Saccharomyces cerevisiae S288C: one gene and its partners. The protein of the gene in region 2 binds, or shares a complex with, the protein of the main gene of each other region. Each region holds a gene or a part of one and is shown on either strand. Other genes may lie near its edges. The genes, in order: GPI19, GPI1, ERI1 and GPI2.

Region 1 (3,988 bases), on a different chromosome or scaffold from region 2:
CCCCCTATAACTGCAGAATCGTACATTTGATCAGCAAGTACCATGGGTAATTCCGGTTCGAAACAACATACCAAGCACAATAGCAAGAAGGATGACCACGACGGTGACAGGAAAAAGACACTAGATCTCCCACCACTGACAAAATCGGATACTACACATTCGCTGAAATCGTCAAGGTCGCTGAGGTCGCTGCGGTCGAAACGCTCAGAGGCGTCGTTGGCATCTAATGTTCAAGCTCAAACGCAACCCCTCTCCCGCAGATCGTCCACTCTGGGAAACGGCAATCGCAACCATAGGCGATCAAACAACGCCCCAATCACTCCTCCTAATAACCACTACCTAACCTCACATCCCAGTTCGTCAAGAAGACTCTCTTCCTCTTCGAGAAGGTCGAGCATGGGGAATAATAACAATTCAGAATTGCCCCCGTCAATGATCCAGATGGAGCCCAAATCACCCATCTTGAAAAATAGTACAAGCATGCATTCCACTAGCTCTTTCAACTCTTACGAAAATGCGTTGACTGATGATGACGACGATAGGGGGGATGATGGCGGCGAGAGCCCCTCAATGGCCAAAGTTACTCGCATCAACACTAGTTCTTCCGCAGATAGAGGCTCCAAGCGTACTCCTTTAAGACGTCATAATTCATTACAACCGGAAAAAGGTGTAACAGGATTTTCCTCGACTTCATCGAAATTACGCAGAAGATCAGACAATACTCTGCCAGCAAGTTATCCTTTAAATGCAGAAGCAGGAGGGAATGGCAGCGACTATTTCTCAAACAGATCAAACTCGCATGCATCATCCAGGAAGTCGTCATTTGGCTCCACTGGGAATACAGCTTATAGCACACCACTGCATTCACCTGCGTTAAGAAAAATGAGCTCGAGGGACAACGACGATAGCGGAGACAACGTCAACGGTAGAGGCACCTCACCTATCCCTAATCTAAACATAGACAAGCCTTCGCCGTCAGCGTCGTCAGCGTCAAAAAGAGAATATTTAAGTGCATATCCAACACTAGCTCACAGAGATTCATCATCTTCACTTAGTCCGCGGGGCAAAGGACAACGGTCTTCATCGTCTTCCAGTTCCAGTCAAAGAATATATGTTTCCCCACCATCTCCCACAGGTGATTTCGTACACGGGAGTTGTGCAGACGGTGATAATGGATCTAGGACTAATACTATGGTCGAAATGAAAAGGAAAAAACCAGTTCGTCCAGTGGACATAGATGAAATTATCCAGAGATTACTAGATGCCGGCTATGCCGCAAAGAGGACCAAGAATGTTTGCTTAAAGAATTCCGAGATTATTCAAATTTGCCATAAGGCTCGTGAATTATTCCTTGCCCAACCTGCTCTCTTAGAATTATCTCCCTCGGTAAAAATAGTGGGTGATGTTCACGGCCAATATGCAGATCTTTTGAGACTTTTTACCAAATGCGGTTTCCCCCCCATGGCAAATTACTTATTTTTAGGCGATTACGTAGATCGCGGTAAGCAGTCCCTGGAGACCATTTTACTATTACTATGCTATAAGATTAAATATCCTGAAAATTTCTTCCTCTTAAGAGGCAATCATGAATGTGCCAATGTTACAAGAGTCTACGGGTTTTATGATGAATGTAAACGACGTTGTAATATCAAGATTTGGAAAACCTTTGTTGACACGTTCAACACGCTACCGTTAGCAGCCATCGTCACAGGAAAAATATTTTGTGTTCATGGTGGACTATCACCTGTTCTAAATTCCATGGACGAAATTAGGCACGTTAGTAGGCCCACCGATGTACCCGACTTCGGCTTAATTAATGACCTTTTATGGTCGGATCCTACAGATTCATCGAATGAATGGGAGGATAATGAGCGTGGAGTTAGTTTTTGTTACAATAAAGTGGCTATTAATAAATTTTTAAACAAATTCGGATTCGATTTAGTGTGTAGAGCACATATGGTGGTGGAAGATGGTTATGAATTCTTTAATGACAGAAGCTTAGTTACAGTGTTTTCGGCTCCCAACTATTGTGGTGAATTCGATAACTGGGGTGCTGTCATGACCGTTAGTGAAGGCCTACTCTGTTCTTTTGAGTTGTTGGACCCACTGGACAGTACCGCTTTGAAACAAGTGATGAAAAAAGGCAGGCAAGAACGTAAATTAGCCAATCGCTGAAAAACTAGATATTAATGTTGCAGTTAATAAGCTCATTGAAAACTTTCTTTGGTTGTTCCTCTTCCTTCTTTTTTTCGCCGATAAAGTTGTCGTTATAGTTTCACTTATATCTTACGAGAATCTAAATAAGTAAATATTAATATTATTCAATTTCTCATTTCCTTTCCTCTGGGTTTTTTGAGAGTACGAGTTTTATTGCTCGCTTTTTGTATTTTCACTTTGCCGGCTTTTTCACTATTCCCTATTGTCTTAATAAAGTTCCTGCTTGGGCCCAGTAAACTTTTAAAATTTATGTGCTGAAAGAAAGTTGAAACAATCACAAGAGGAGAGCAGATTTGCCAAAAAAAGAATCTGAGCTGTTTGTTCCTGTCTAATACTAAAAGATATAAATAAACAATATGTATACAAAAGAGTACTACTGGTTTTCACAATATATGATAATAACAAGCACTTTGGTGCTCACCATAATATGGTCCATCTTACCATCATCGCTGGGTGAGGCTGCACCAAAGCAGTTTATCAACACGCTATTGGACATCTTCCCACAAAGAAGATGGATTATTACCTTGGAGAGCATAATGCTGATGGGCATGCTATGCACATACATCGGCCTTCTGATGTACAATGAAGATACATTAACACCGCCGCTAGATTCTCTATCTACAGTAACGGATGCCGGTGGTCAACTTGTAATAGAGGACGACCCGGACGTATTCGTTAAGAAATGGGCCTTTAAAGAAACAAGTGGTATTTACGATCTGTCTCTGATGGATGCCTGCCAACTTCTCTACCTATATGATAACGACCATACCAGCACATAGCTTTTCTCAGCACCTGTCCAGAGACATAACATCACAATCACATCGCCCCAGTAAATGCATACGCAAGATAAGATACAAACTGGCTACGGGAACACTACGCCAACGTGATTGGCAATTGTGCTCTAATAGTTACTCTATTATTGCTGTTAATTGACAATGTTTAGTCACGTGCAACACAATTCAAGTCACGTGGAAAGGCCTTCACATGGTGATCCATCTTCTACATCTTCATCGGTCCTGCATAAAGTCATAATATGGGGCTACTGGAATGTATGCACTTAACAGTACTATTATATGGTGAGGCTGTAATGCTTACCGTTTTGTGGCTATTCTCGTATTCTGTAGGCCCCCCCATACACATTTTTCGGTAACTGCGGCATATAGATGAAAGTTGAAATGAATATTCAAAAGAATATATATAATAATGCAGGAGATCAAGGAAGAATTAGATATGTATAAGAGTGATGGTAGAGGCAAAAAATAAAAAGTAAGCAGGAGAATGAATCGTGTTGGTATAGACGTAGATCATATGATAGGGGTCCTGCTTCTGGCCGTAGTGGTGGTGTTTTGGGTTGGCGCTTCGTGTTTGACTAATGAATTGCTCGAGACAAACGCGTACAATAAACCTTTCTTCCTTACTTATCTAAACATATCATCGTTTGCTCTTTATTTGACGCCAGATCTATGGAGGATAATCCAATCAAGAAGGAAGAGCTTGCAGGAACGGACAGAACGAACATTACCTATTCACACACAAGAATCTTTTTCAGAGTTCCTACCTTTACTATCTTCAACTCCTTCTACTTCTTCAAATTTGTCTTCGATAGCGGACACGAAAGTGAAGGATACAATGAGGTTGAGTCTGCTATTTTGCGTCTTGTGGTTCGTGGCAAATTTGGCGGCTAACGCTGCTTTGTCGTATACCACAGTGGCTTCGTCAACAATTCTTTCATCGACATCCTCATTTTTTACCTTATTTCTTGCCACTAGTC
Region 2 (5,237 bases):
TACTTCTACAGAGACCCTGAAGAAGTTGAACAACAAGTTGCTGAAGAAGCTACCACCGAAGAAGCTGGTGAAGAAGAAGCCAAGGAAGAGGTTACCGAAGAGCAAGCTGAAGCTACTGAATGGGCTGAAGAAAATGCTGACAACGTCGAGTGGTAAGTAAGGTGATATTTACAAATAGTATATTAATAATTATAGTATAATGTTTTATTAGAATAACAGATTTCTTTATCAATTTAGCGGCTAAATAAAAATCAAGAAAAAAGAAATACATTCATTGTGTCATCTTGTCACACATTTAGCCATGTACTTTATTTGCTGAGAAGTTTAATCAATTGAGAGTAGTTAGCTATTGTAGTAAAAATGTGCAAATGAAGTCTTATCAACACGTAGCGTATATAGTGATCTAAAACAGTTAGAAATATAATAAGCGAACTTCTAAACCATTTTAGAGCACATAGCCATGGAGAATAGGTACTTGTTTTGACCCGCTCGACGAAGTGGTACGTAGTGATTGCGTGGATTAGTTTATCATAAGACTTTCAATGAACGTACCAAAGGCGAGACTCCTAAAAGTAGCAGAGTTATCTGCGAAGATATTTGATCAAAATTTCAACCCATCAGGTATAAGAACCGGTTCTAAGATTCTAAATGAGCGATTAAAGGGCCCTTCTGTGGCAAGCTACTACGGCAATCCGGATATCCTGAAGTTCAGACATTTGAAAACATTATATCCTGATATTGAATTTGTAGACCTTGAGGAGCAATATCGATTATCTATGGTAGAAGCAAAGAAACGTCGTGGTAAAGGTGCTCCTAAGAAGATGAAGAAGGATGCAGCTGCAACTGCAAAGGGGAAGGGGAAGAAAAAAAAATGATTGGAGCACCCTTACTAAAAAAAATATTCATTATGTAGAAACTCATTTCATGTACATACAAAATCAAAAATAAAACAACAAATAGCTGAAGCAAGAAAACGCTACTTTACTTATAAAAGAAAACGTTATGCCTGAATAGTCAGCCTTTTGTATAAATCCTTTACACTCAATGGCTTACTAGGCAGTGAAGAATAAAGAACATAGTACAGCTTATTTCTATTGACCATTATAGACTCCCCTCGGACAATCTTTCGTACAGTAGCAAACGAGAAATAATTTGTCCTCATTTGCGACAACAATAGATTGTATGGTCTGAACATACTCTTGAATTTAATAGGATTGTTTTGAAGTTCTAAGGTTGTATGCTTGTTAGAAACCGTGGTTTTGAGCTCAATTGAAATGCCACCGGGTAGACGTTTAGGATCTTTTAACCTAAGTAATAATGCGAACAATGGAAAATGGTTAATGAGTGCAATGACAGCTTCCGAGAATATTTCGATAGTTATTGTTAGCATTCTCAAAACTGTGTATGACATATAGAATGCCATCACTGTGGGAGTCAAGAACACTAGAATAATAAATAATAATGTTCCCAATAGCAATTGATCTAGTTGAAAATAGTTATGGTCAATCCTATTTCGTAAAACGTTCCTCTTTTTACCGCAGAACAGGTTAAAAAGACTAGCCATAATATTCAACTGACAATGGTACAGTTTACTGCTGATACGATAAAAAACATATATTGGAAAACTTAAAATTGCAAAAAAATCAATCGCTAGGGAAACAGCAAAAGAAAAGCCAACGAGAAACATCATATATATCGTTAACGTGAGCAAAGATGATAGGGTTTTCGGATCAATGAGTCTTTTTATGAATGTGGTATAAGAAAATTCTATCACCCAAAGAAATAATTCGCTCAAAAAGTTCGCAAGTTCTGCATTTAATTTGATGCCAAGGGGGTTATTTGCTAACGTTTCAGTTATTGTTTTTAATGAATCATATAAAAAAAACTTCAATACTCTATGGGATGCCGACACCAAGAAATCTCGATTCTCAATAAGTATGGCCCCCAATATTAAACCAAATGAAATGTCATTAATAATAAGCCAAATTGTATTATACAATAAAATATAATCGGGATAGAATTTAGAAGGCATATATGAATGTGAGAATTGACTATTAGAATTATCTTTTTCCACCATAGAGCCAACATTCTGTATGTTATCCTTCTTATTAATACGCTCATACTGTACTGGGAAATAGCAAATTTGTTGACAACGAAGATCGATTTGCTGGACAAATGCCGAGTAATTTACCAACTGAAAGTGCGAATAATTTAATAACGAGGATACGAGACTAGCAATAGAGCAGATCACAAAAGTCAAATAAAAACCAATTTTTGCGACCATTTTATAAATACAAGTAGATGAACACCAAGCTGCGACACTATTAAGCATAGTACCCCTCAAATTTTCCTGTGATGTTTGAATAAACGGGTAAAGCTCATTTAATGCTTTACAATATGCGGGGAATAGATTAATGATGTTCAAAGTTTCACTCAATTTCTTATTATCTCTCTTGTATCTTGGATGTTGCTCTAATTTAGAATAGTTCAGAGTTTCACCCACACTACTATGAAGACCAACTTCTTTTTCTGGTATGATGAGCGAGATGGGATCAGAAGAATAGAATTGCATAAATTTCAGCTTGGGTATTCTAAAATGGACATTACAGGGATCAGCAACTTTGTAGTTCCAACCCTCCGCTCCATTGTTCTTAGTAGCTACCACTGAATAAGGGGGCCGTATGCTTACTTCTTCTAAATACTGAGGTTCGCAAACACCTAAGACAACAAAATGCGTCTTCTCAAATGAAATTGCCAAAGCTACCTGAGGTCCTTGAGCTGCGGAATTCTCGAACAAGGATTCGTATGGCCAGAAAATGTAATTTGGCATGTCATTTAACTGTATAAAACCGCCCCTGAATTCGAAGGTTCCTGTTCACAGAGGAATTTTCATTCTTTTTGGTATTATGTTCTGGTAGGTTTTTTTCATATTCTACATTTCGGCATTCTCACTGAAAATAAATATAGATGAGATAGAAGATCATGAATCAATGGTTGGTGACAAGCTAACATAAGGAAAATCAAAATACACGGCATTACTAAATAGAATATATTGTTAGTACTATGCAGGGGAGAAAAAGGACGCTTACGGAACCATTTGAGCCAAATACCAATCCATTTGGGGACAATGCAGCAGTAATGACGGAAAATGTTGAGGATAACAGCGAAACAGATGGTAACCGTCTAGAATCAAAACCACAAGCTTTGGTCCCACCAGCTTTAAATATCGTGCCACCAGAGAGCAGCATCCACAGTACTGAAGAAAAAAAAGGTGACGAGTACAATGGAAATGATAAAGATAGCTCCTTAATCTCCAACATATTTCGTACTCGTGTCGGAAGGAGTAGTCATGAAAACTTGAGCAGGCCTAAACTCTCACTTAAAACAGCATCATTTGGTGCCGCTGAATCTTCCCGGCGTAATGTTTCACCCTCTACAAAATCTGCCAAGTCTAGTTCGCAGTATATTGATTTAAATGATGAAAGGCTACGCAGGCGTAGCTTCAGTAGTTATAGCCGATCATCTAGTAGGCGTGTTTCTAATTCACCAAGCTCAACGGATAGGCCTCCACGGTCGGCAAAGGTTTTATCGCTAATTGCCGCTGATGATATGGATGATTTTGAAGATTTGCAAAAGGGATTTAAAAGTGCAATAGACGAAGAGGGCCTGACATGGCTACCCCAATTAAAATCAGAAAAAAGCCGTCCTGTATCAGACGTTGGAGAAGATAGAGGAGAAGGAGAACAAGAATCTATACCTGACGTTCATACACCCAATGTAGGAGCAAGCGCTACTCCAGGATCAATTCATCTAACACCCGAACCCGCGCAGAATGGTTCGGTATCTGAGGGTCTAGAAGGCTCTATTAATAATTCAAGAAAGAAACCCAGTCCAAAGTTTTTTCATCATTTATCACCGCAAAAAGAAGATAAAGACCAAACAGAAGTTATTGAGTATGCTGAAGACATTCTAGATTTTGAAACCCTTCAAAGAAAACTGGAATCAAGGCCCTTTGTGCTTTATGGACATTCTCTTGGGGTTTTCTCGCCTACGAATCCGCTAAGAATAAAAATTGCTCGTTTTTTGTTGCATAGGCGGTATTCGTTACTTTACAACACTTTGTTAACATTTTATGCCATTCTCCTGGCGATAAGGACATATAACCCTCACAATGTGGTTTTTTTATACCGTTTCTCTAACTGGACCGACTATTTCATTTTTATTTTATCAGCTTGCTTTACAGGCAATGATATTGCTAAAATAATTGCGTTTGGATTTTGGGACGATTCTGAAATGTTTAAAGCCTATGGACGTGAGTATAAATCAATCTTACAGAGATCTGGAATTATGAAACTATACATATATCTGAGAGAAAAGTATGGTAGAAAGCTAATAGATTTCATTATTCCATTTAGGATCATATCGCCGGGAGAAGAGACAAAATATCAACGAAGTTCGTTGAGTACTTCCCTGACGAAACCTTATGGGGCAAAGGAAAATCAGAGGCCTTTTGGCACCCCAAGAGCCTTTGCGAGATCATCGTGGAATAGAATAGATCTGGTATCTTCTGTCAGTTTTTGGCTAGGTATGTTTTTATCCATAAAAAGTTATGATACAAAAACAGGCATAAGAATATTCAAGCCCCTTGCTATATTAAGGATTCTTCGACTTGTAAACGTGGATACTGGTATGCCCTCAATTCTAAGGGGATTGAAATATGGTATCCCACAGTTGGTAAATGTTAGTTCAATGCTAGTTTACTTTTGGATTTTCTTTGGGATTTTGGGAGTACAGATTTTTCAGGGCTCTTTTCGAAGACAATGTGTATGGTTTAACCCTGAAGATCCTACCGATACTTACCAGTACGATATGCAATTCTGTGGTGGTTACCTAGATCCAGTAACAAAACGAAAACAAAATTATATCTATGAAGACGGATCAGAAGGTTCTGTTTCAAAAGGCTTTCTTTGCCCACAATATTCGAAATGTGTTTCCAATGCCAACCCCTACAACGGCAGAATTAGTTTTGATAATATTGTTAATTCCATGGAGCTCGTTTTTGTCATTATGAGTGCGAATACTTTTACTGACTTAATGTACTATACGATGGATTCGGATGAAATGGCTGCCTGTTTGTTTTTTATTGTTTGCATCTTTGTTTTAACTATCTGGCTGCTAAATCTACTCATTGCAGTGTTGGTATCATCTTTTGAAATAGCCAATGAGGAGTACAAAAA
Region 3 (3,363 bases), on a different chromosome or scaffold from region 2:
AGATCTAAAGTCACCACCCGTAGAATCTTTACCGCATTACACACAGGTGATGTGAGAGAATTTTTGAACCACCAAAAAGCTCTATTTCCGCAAAGAAAAATATATGCAGTCGGAACATCATTTGGAGCAGCCATGCTAACGAACTACTTAGGTGAAGAAGGAGATAACTGTCCATTAAATGCTGCAGTCGCTCTCTCAAACCCATGGGATTTCGTACACACTTGGGACAAGTTGGCTCATGATTGGTGGTCCAACCATATTTTTTCTAGAACTTTAACACAATTTCTAACAAGGACTGTCAAGGTTAATATGAATGAGTTGCAGGTACCAGAGAATTTTGAGGTTTCGCACAAACCGACAGTTGAGAAACCAGTCTTTTATACGTATACCAGAGAAAATTTGGAAAAGGCTGAAAAATTTACAGACATATTAGAATTCGATAATCTTTTCACTGCCCCATCGATGGGCCTGCCGGACGGGTTAACATATTATAGAAAGGCCAGTTCGATAAATAGATTGCCTAATATCAAAATCCCAACTTTAATAATCAACGCAACGGATGATCCAGTTACAGGTGAAAACGTAATTCCGTACAAACAAGCTAGAGAAAATCCTTGTGTGTTGTTATGCGAGACTGACTTGGGTGGACATTTGGCTTATCTCGACAATGAAAGTAATTCCTGGTTAACAAAGCAAGCTGCCGAGTTCTTGGGCAGCTTTGATGAGTTAGTTTTATAAATATGTTCTTAGATAAAATTCCTTACACATAATAATCTGTTCTTTTATTTCTCTATTTACCATCCTCCCCACGCTGTGCTTTCCAATCCGCCGATCCACTTTCTCTACCACGATTAGATGATTTCGAAGCGGCACTGACGCTTTCGGATTTCGTTTCTTGTGTCTTTCCTCTAATCAGCTCTATCTGTTCCTGCTCATCGCGACATGCAAGTTGGTATATCTCGTCATCATTTAACGAATACCTCAACCTCTTCGTTATAAATTGACAAAGGAATTTTAAATCTTCTTCCTTGATTTGATCTCTGGGCAGCTCGTTTTGGAGGATATAGCGTTTACTAACGTCAACAACGCCATCTTTACCGAACGCAATACAGTAACTCATTTTCTTGTTCCAGTTAATTGAATAGATATATGGTTGGTCGAATGATTGCTCACAGGAGTCGACATGAACCCACCTATTCAAAAAATTTGAAAAATATTCACACCAAACATGATCTTCTCTATTCCAGACGTAGCGAACATCTAACCCAAACGACTTCAAAATCAAAGTAAATAAATTGCACCATTCACCGCATCTTCCCTTTCTAGTTTCCAGCAACTTAATTGGATCGTTATAACGAGGAAATCTAGTGATATTTCCGCATCGGTTGCATTTATAGATCTCAACAGTTCCGCAATTGAATTTAGATTCCTCTCCATTGGGCCCTTGACTGCCCAGAGGTGTCATATTTTCTGAAGTGTTCTGGCCACAATGATTACAATCTGGTTTATTGCACCATTTGAAAAAATCTTGTTTGAAGTAGCGAAGCAGCTCCTTTACTAGATAATCCGTGTATATATTTTCCCCCTCTGCATGCCCATCTTTGGCAAATTCCTTATCAACATTTTTATATATTAGATCCAGATCCAATGTCTCCAGGACTATAGAATGCCATGAAGGATTGTCATAGACTGTACAGAGATGTTGACTCTGACCTAGGACTCCTTGTGCGAATTGATTTGTATGGACTAAATTCTGAAACCTTATATTCTCTACAGGTGCAGCTTTCTTGAATTTAGACAGTATGAAATCCTTATACTTAATTAACAACATTTTGGCTATTGAATCAAAATCTATGTTATTTTTTTCGTATACCTCTCCCATTGCTACTCCACCTGTTACCTTCTTCAGGTTGTTTTACGTCTTCTATATCTGTTCCCAACGCATCCTTTTTTCTTCGCTACAATACAAGGAAGATTACACTACGCAAAGTTTCGAAAACATCAAGAAGCATAGAACAGTTGAAACTAGGCAACAGGACTGTTTCAATTACATGATTGAGAATTTATAAGCGCATGAGACCACGTGACCAAGGCTTTTTGGTTTTAGGGTTTACTTACTCGGTACTCCTAATTAGTCTTGCTACATTTTACTGGTTACGCAACAATGACTCTTTCCTGCACTACTGGTGTGTATTACTGCTATGCCCTGCGACTCTCTGGCTGTGGGCCCTCATAGCCTGGTGTGACAGTGAAATGTTCGCAAGTAGTAAAGATGAATAATCGTTTATAATCTTATTTACAAGTCAGTGCATAAAATGATATAATATCACCTCACGCATGCCTATTTTATACATGTACTTTATATACCTCCCTTTTTTTTAACGCATTTCTATTATAAAACACTTCTGCTTTCCTATCCTCAAGATCAGTACTCGATCATCTATCAGGAAAGGAGCCAAGTTAGAAATATTTTCGTTTACTTTAGATTTTGAATGATGCAGATACACGCTTCCCTGGGAAAGTTTTCTTCTGGCTTCTGATACTGAACAATTTACTAGTTTACAAATTAACTTTATTAAGTCAATCTCTCTATCAGCATACTGCAAAATTCTGGCTTTTTTACATAGATCAACTAACTTCGCAGCAGATAAAGTTCCGTCATAACGTCCAAAAATAATATTAGAAAGCGCTTCTGAATCCGATCCGGAGCCAACTCCATATAACATATCTGTGACTTCTTTAGCCAATAAAGTTTGGCCATAACGTAGACTGGGTGATTTGATATGCGTTTCCACAATTTTTTTGATTTCACTTGAGTTTAAAAACGTAAAGATCTTCAAGAACTTGGGTACATCAGCATCCAAAGTATTATAAAAGAACTGGTAAACATCATACGCCGTATTGATTGAGGGGTCAATAAAAACAGCATTGCCTGCACTTTTCCCAAATTTCTCTCCTGTAGCCGTCGTCAACAAGGGCACAGTGATACCAAATGGCAAACCCTTATTCTTTATAGGCTGTATCCTATTGATGAGATCGATACCGGCTGTTATATTTCCCCATTGGTCGTTACCACCTACTTGTATAGTCACATTCTCTTCCTTATACAAATGGTAAAAATCGTACGCTTGTAAAACTTGGTAAGTAAATTCGTTAAATCCCAGACCATTTTTGGTTTGAAGCCTCGAAGAAATTGAATCCCTCGCCAACATAGATTGTACCCGAATGTGCCTACCAAAATCAGCTAAGAAATCCAACATTTTGATGTCTTTCCACCAGTTGAAATTATTCCTTGGTGTATATTTTCCGGAAGGTACATCTTCAGTGAGAGCACATCGGTTTCTGTAATATTCTAGGCCATTT
Region 4 (3,167 bases), on a different chromosome or scaffold from region 2:
AGGTTTCTCATCCGGGTGATATTATCACATAACCAAGTGCCAAAAAGAAGAAAACAGGAAGCTGCTGCTACCAAGAAACAAGTGACTTTAAATTAGGAGCGGTAGACGCTGAAACGCCTGTTTAACACGGCCGCAAATTGTACCCTATTGGCCAGGTAGTATTGTCTTGTGTTCAGTTTAAGGGGGCGTTTCTCTAATATTGGGACCCGGTTAAGGTGCAAGGGCCCATCAATGCATTCAAAAATCTCCTGAATGTTCAATTTTAAAGTTGTCGTATGATATGTGAATAATCTGTAGTGAAGCAAACTTAATCGACCGAACTGCCCTTTGGTAATTGCCCGACGCCTTTGCTTGTCAGGTTTCATGATAATTATTATTACAGTGACTCTATATATAATGAAATACCGTGGGGTCGAGGAAGAGGACAGGCAATAAGCCCCTGCGGGCAGAAGTCGTACCCCTCCCTTGCTTATCCGAAGGAAATCATGTTCTTGATTGCGCTAATCCAATATTGGTGTTCTTGCATCCCATGTACTTAGTAGATCGTTATCCCGTTTATGATAATTGATTTTCCAGTAGATGAACCACTTAGGTAAAACAGTAATATAAAATACTGAAGCAAAGAAAATCAACAGCATATAAATCCAACCTAGAGCAACATTCAAAAATGAGTATACAATAATATTTGAAATTATTGGTACTACCTTATTCGTCACCGATAAATAAGTGGGTAGAATGATATTCAACTGAATACAAATTAAAAGAAAACAGAATACGTCGATTGTGGTCGAAAGCCTCGATGATAGGACAGCAACAAGGGCGACAAGTATATTGGTGGAAAGGTTAGAGGGTTTATCTTTGGACTTTGTTGACGAAATAACGAAAATGTACCATAGGGTCAGCCAAAAAGACAATGTCCATATGGAATCAGATGCAGTTGTTTTAGAAAGAGATTTGAGGACTGGAGAGAGAGTCAACATTGCAAATGTGATAATCAGCGAAGACTTTACGTCCATGAATGAGGACAATAGAGGGTCGACTTTCGTCCTTGATATAATCAATGTTATAAATGAAAGGAAAATAGTTGGCGGAATAGGATCGAAGCCATAATAGTAAATATATGTAAAAGTGATGTAAATGAAAGAAGTGTTCAATATGGTTTGGTAGAAACTTATAAAATCCAACCTAATTTGAGCGCGAGCAGCTTCTGATAATTTTCTATCAGACTTCTGGTTACTCTCAGCCTTTTGTCTTGCTCTCAACTCAATAAAACTTGGATCTGTATAATTATCTGGGTACTCCTGTTTCAACCATAGTAGGCGCTTCCAGGGAGATCTTGTCATTGTACCTATTGAAAATAACCAAATATAAACTATGAAGTCTCTTTAAGGTCATACGAAAATTGAGAGGATAATGGACCTGCAACAGAAAGTTTGGATGCCTCTGATTATATTCACCACCGTCTAACAACAATACTTAAAGTGTGATTGTACCTTTAAATTGGTTTAAAGCGAAGAGGTAATGGAAAGTTGAAATTTTCATTTTTAGTTCATAAATTTAGTAGCCGCGAAGTGGTCTCAAGTTCGGATATCAAGATAATCAATAGCCACGGACACCTACTACCTGGCCTTCGCTGACATGTAATTGACATTGTTTTTGAAAAACCTAACCAAAAATTTACAATTCACTATCTTCATGAAAGATCTCCAGAAAAAAAGCTCAGTACGAAGGCAAATCACGAATGAAGACGATGAACGGTATGGGGAGGACAGCATCCATGACCTTCCCAGGACAATACCAAATGTAAATCCCTATATTAGAAATTCAGGATTTAGGCCATCTTATTCTTCCCAAATTCCTTCGACAAGGAGTCTATTCAATAACTATTATAACCGTTCAAGTGCTAACACAGTTGGTAATGACACAATAGATACCGATAGTGTTAGCTATAACGGAGTTGCCAAATTCCGGAGAAATAGCGTAGATATACCGCTACAGACACATAACAGACTGGAAGTACGGCCTATAATCGACAGACAAGACTATTTGTGGAGAGAAATAGATGCCCTAGATGACGTTAAAAGACAGGCGCAGGCAACAGAATTGTATGATCAGTTTCCTCCAGGGTTCGAGAACAAACTGATGCAATTAAGGCAAGCACATAGTAAACTACTTCAAGTCTTGAGGGACCGCAATGCTAAAATAGAAGAGGAACAACGTCGTGAAGTGGCGGTCGCAACCGCTGCTGCCATGATGACTAGAACGCCATCACCAACAGGAAAATCCGTCGGAGATGAAGCTACAAGCAACAACATGCATAGTAGCAGCGCAATTAGAAATCCAAATGGACCAACCGTTGATCCTGAAGAAGGAAAGTACATTCAAGAGCTGGTGAACACTATAAGGGAATTACAATAGTAGGGCCAAAACACAACTGATAGTAACAATCACCAAGAGATTCTACATTAAAAGTGTAAGAATTCCCACATAGGAGTGCTCTAATTATGTCATATATGCTTAATTTTCAAAATAAAATAGCCATAAACTGTGTTGTGACGCAACTGCAACTCCCAGATGAAATACGGTCCGGTAAAGATAGGAATATTCTACTCTACAAGCATGAATATTTTTTAACGCGGCGCAGTACTATACAGCATAACAGGTCTTCCACGCATGAGAAACTGTCCATGGCTAAATTAGTTCCTCACACAGAATTAGAAATGTGCTGTGACAATGGCACATACGTAGATAAAAGATAAATATAATTCAGAATGGCTGTGGCGACAACTATTATCATAGAGGTGTCCCATCGAGCGAGCCTCATTGGCCGGGTAATCGACATCAATATTGAACCAATCACGACGCTTTTTCTCTTCACCGCTCATTCGGACCTTCACCACAGGTTTGGGTAATTAAAATAGCAAGGGATTATAATTGCAGTTAGCAGTTTATGTTGACAAGTTTATACTGTGCTAGGAAGGGTTATATTTTATTAAAAGACTGACGAGAATTCAGTACCTCCTAAGTGCGCAAGAGATAAAATGAGCATGAGTATGGGTGTCCGTGGCCTAGCGTTAAGGTCCGTTTCTAAAACATTATTTAGCCAAGGTGTTCGTTGTCCTTCGATGGTGATTGGAGCCCGTTATATGTCTTCCACTCCAGAAAAA

The links.
Region 1: GPI1 (region 2) and GPI19 share a complex: the UniProt entries of both Saccharomyces cerevisiae proteins name them as parts of the phosphatidylinositol N-acetylglucosaminyltransferase (GPI-GlcNAc transferase) complex.
Region 3: GPI1 (region 2) and ERI1 share a complex: the UniProt entries of both Saccharomyces cerevisiae proteins name them as parts of the phosphatidylinositol N-acetylglucosaminyltransferase (GPI-GlcNAc transferase) complex.
Region 4: GPI1 (region 2) and GPI2 share a complex: the UniProt entries of both Saccharomyces cerevisiae proteins name them as parts of the phosphatidylinositol N-acetylglucosaminyltransferase (GPI-GlcNAc transferase) complex.

The regions. Positions count from the first base shown.
Region 1 is NC_001136.10:1,334,779-1,338,766, forward strand, and holds GPI19 (phosphatidylinositol N-acetylglucosaminyltransferase GPI19), read left to right. Parts: upstream 1-2,573; coding exon 2,574-2,996; downstream 2,997-3,988. Other genes in the region: PPZ2 (salt homeostasis regulator), read left to right, coding at 43-2,175; THI74 (Thi74p), read left to right, coding at 3,496-3,988. UniProt on the Saccharomyces cerevisiae protein: Part of the complex catalyzing the transfer of N-acetylglucosamine from UDP-N-acetylglucosamine to phosphatidylinositol, the first step of GPI biosynthesis. Involved in cell wall biosynthesis.
Region 2 is NC_001139.9:921,633-926,869, forward strand, and holds GPI1 (phosphatidylinositol N-acetylglucosaminyltransferase), read right to left. Parts: upstream 2,831-5,237; coding exon 1,001-2,830; downstream 1-1,000. Other genes in the region: 40S ribosomal protein uS2 RPS0A, read left to right, coding at 1-156; mitochondrial 37S ribosomal protein mS33 RSM27, read left to right, coding at 543-875; calcium channel protein CCH1, read left to right, coding at 3,064-5,237. UniProt on the Saccharomyces cerevisiae protein: Part of the complex catalyzing the transfer of N-acetylglucosamine from UDP-N-acetylglucosamine to phosphatidylinositol, the first step of GPI biosynthesis.
Region 3 is NC_001148.4:365,446-368,808, reverse strand, and holds ERI1 (Eri1p), read left to right. Parts: upstream 1-2,073; coding exon 2,074-2,280; downstream 2,281-3,363. Other genes in the region: EEB1 (medium-chain fatty acid ethyl ester synthase/esterase), read left to right, coding at 1-738; PNG1 (peptide-N4-(N-acetyl-beta-glucosaminyl)asparagine amidase), read right to left, coding at 791-1,882; tyrosine--tRNA ligase MSY1, read right to left, coding at 2,379-3,363. UniProt on the Saccharomyces cerevisiae protein: Probable component of the GPI-GlcNAc transferase (GPI-GnT) complex in the endoplasmic reticulum, a complex that catalyzes transfer of GlcNAc from UDP-GlcNAc to an acceptor phosphatidylinositol, the first step in the production of GPI-anchors for cell surface proteins.
Region 4 is NC_001148.4:408,619-411,785, reverse strand, and holds GPI2 (phosphatidylinositol N-acetylglucosaminyltransferase), read right to left. Parts: upstream 1,344-3,167; coding exon 501-1,343; downstream 1-500. Other genes in the region: YPL077C (uncharacterized protein), read left to right, coding at 1,696-2,418; ATP4 (F1F0 ATP synthase subunit 4), read left to right, coding at 3,042-3,167. UniProt on the Saccharomyces cerevisiae protein: Part of the complex catalyzing the transfer of N-acetylglucosamine from UDP-N-acetylglucosamine to phosphatidylinositol, the first step of GPI biosynthesis.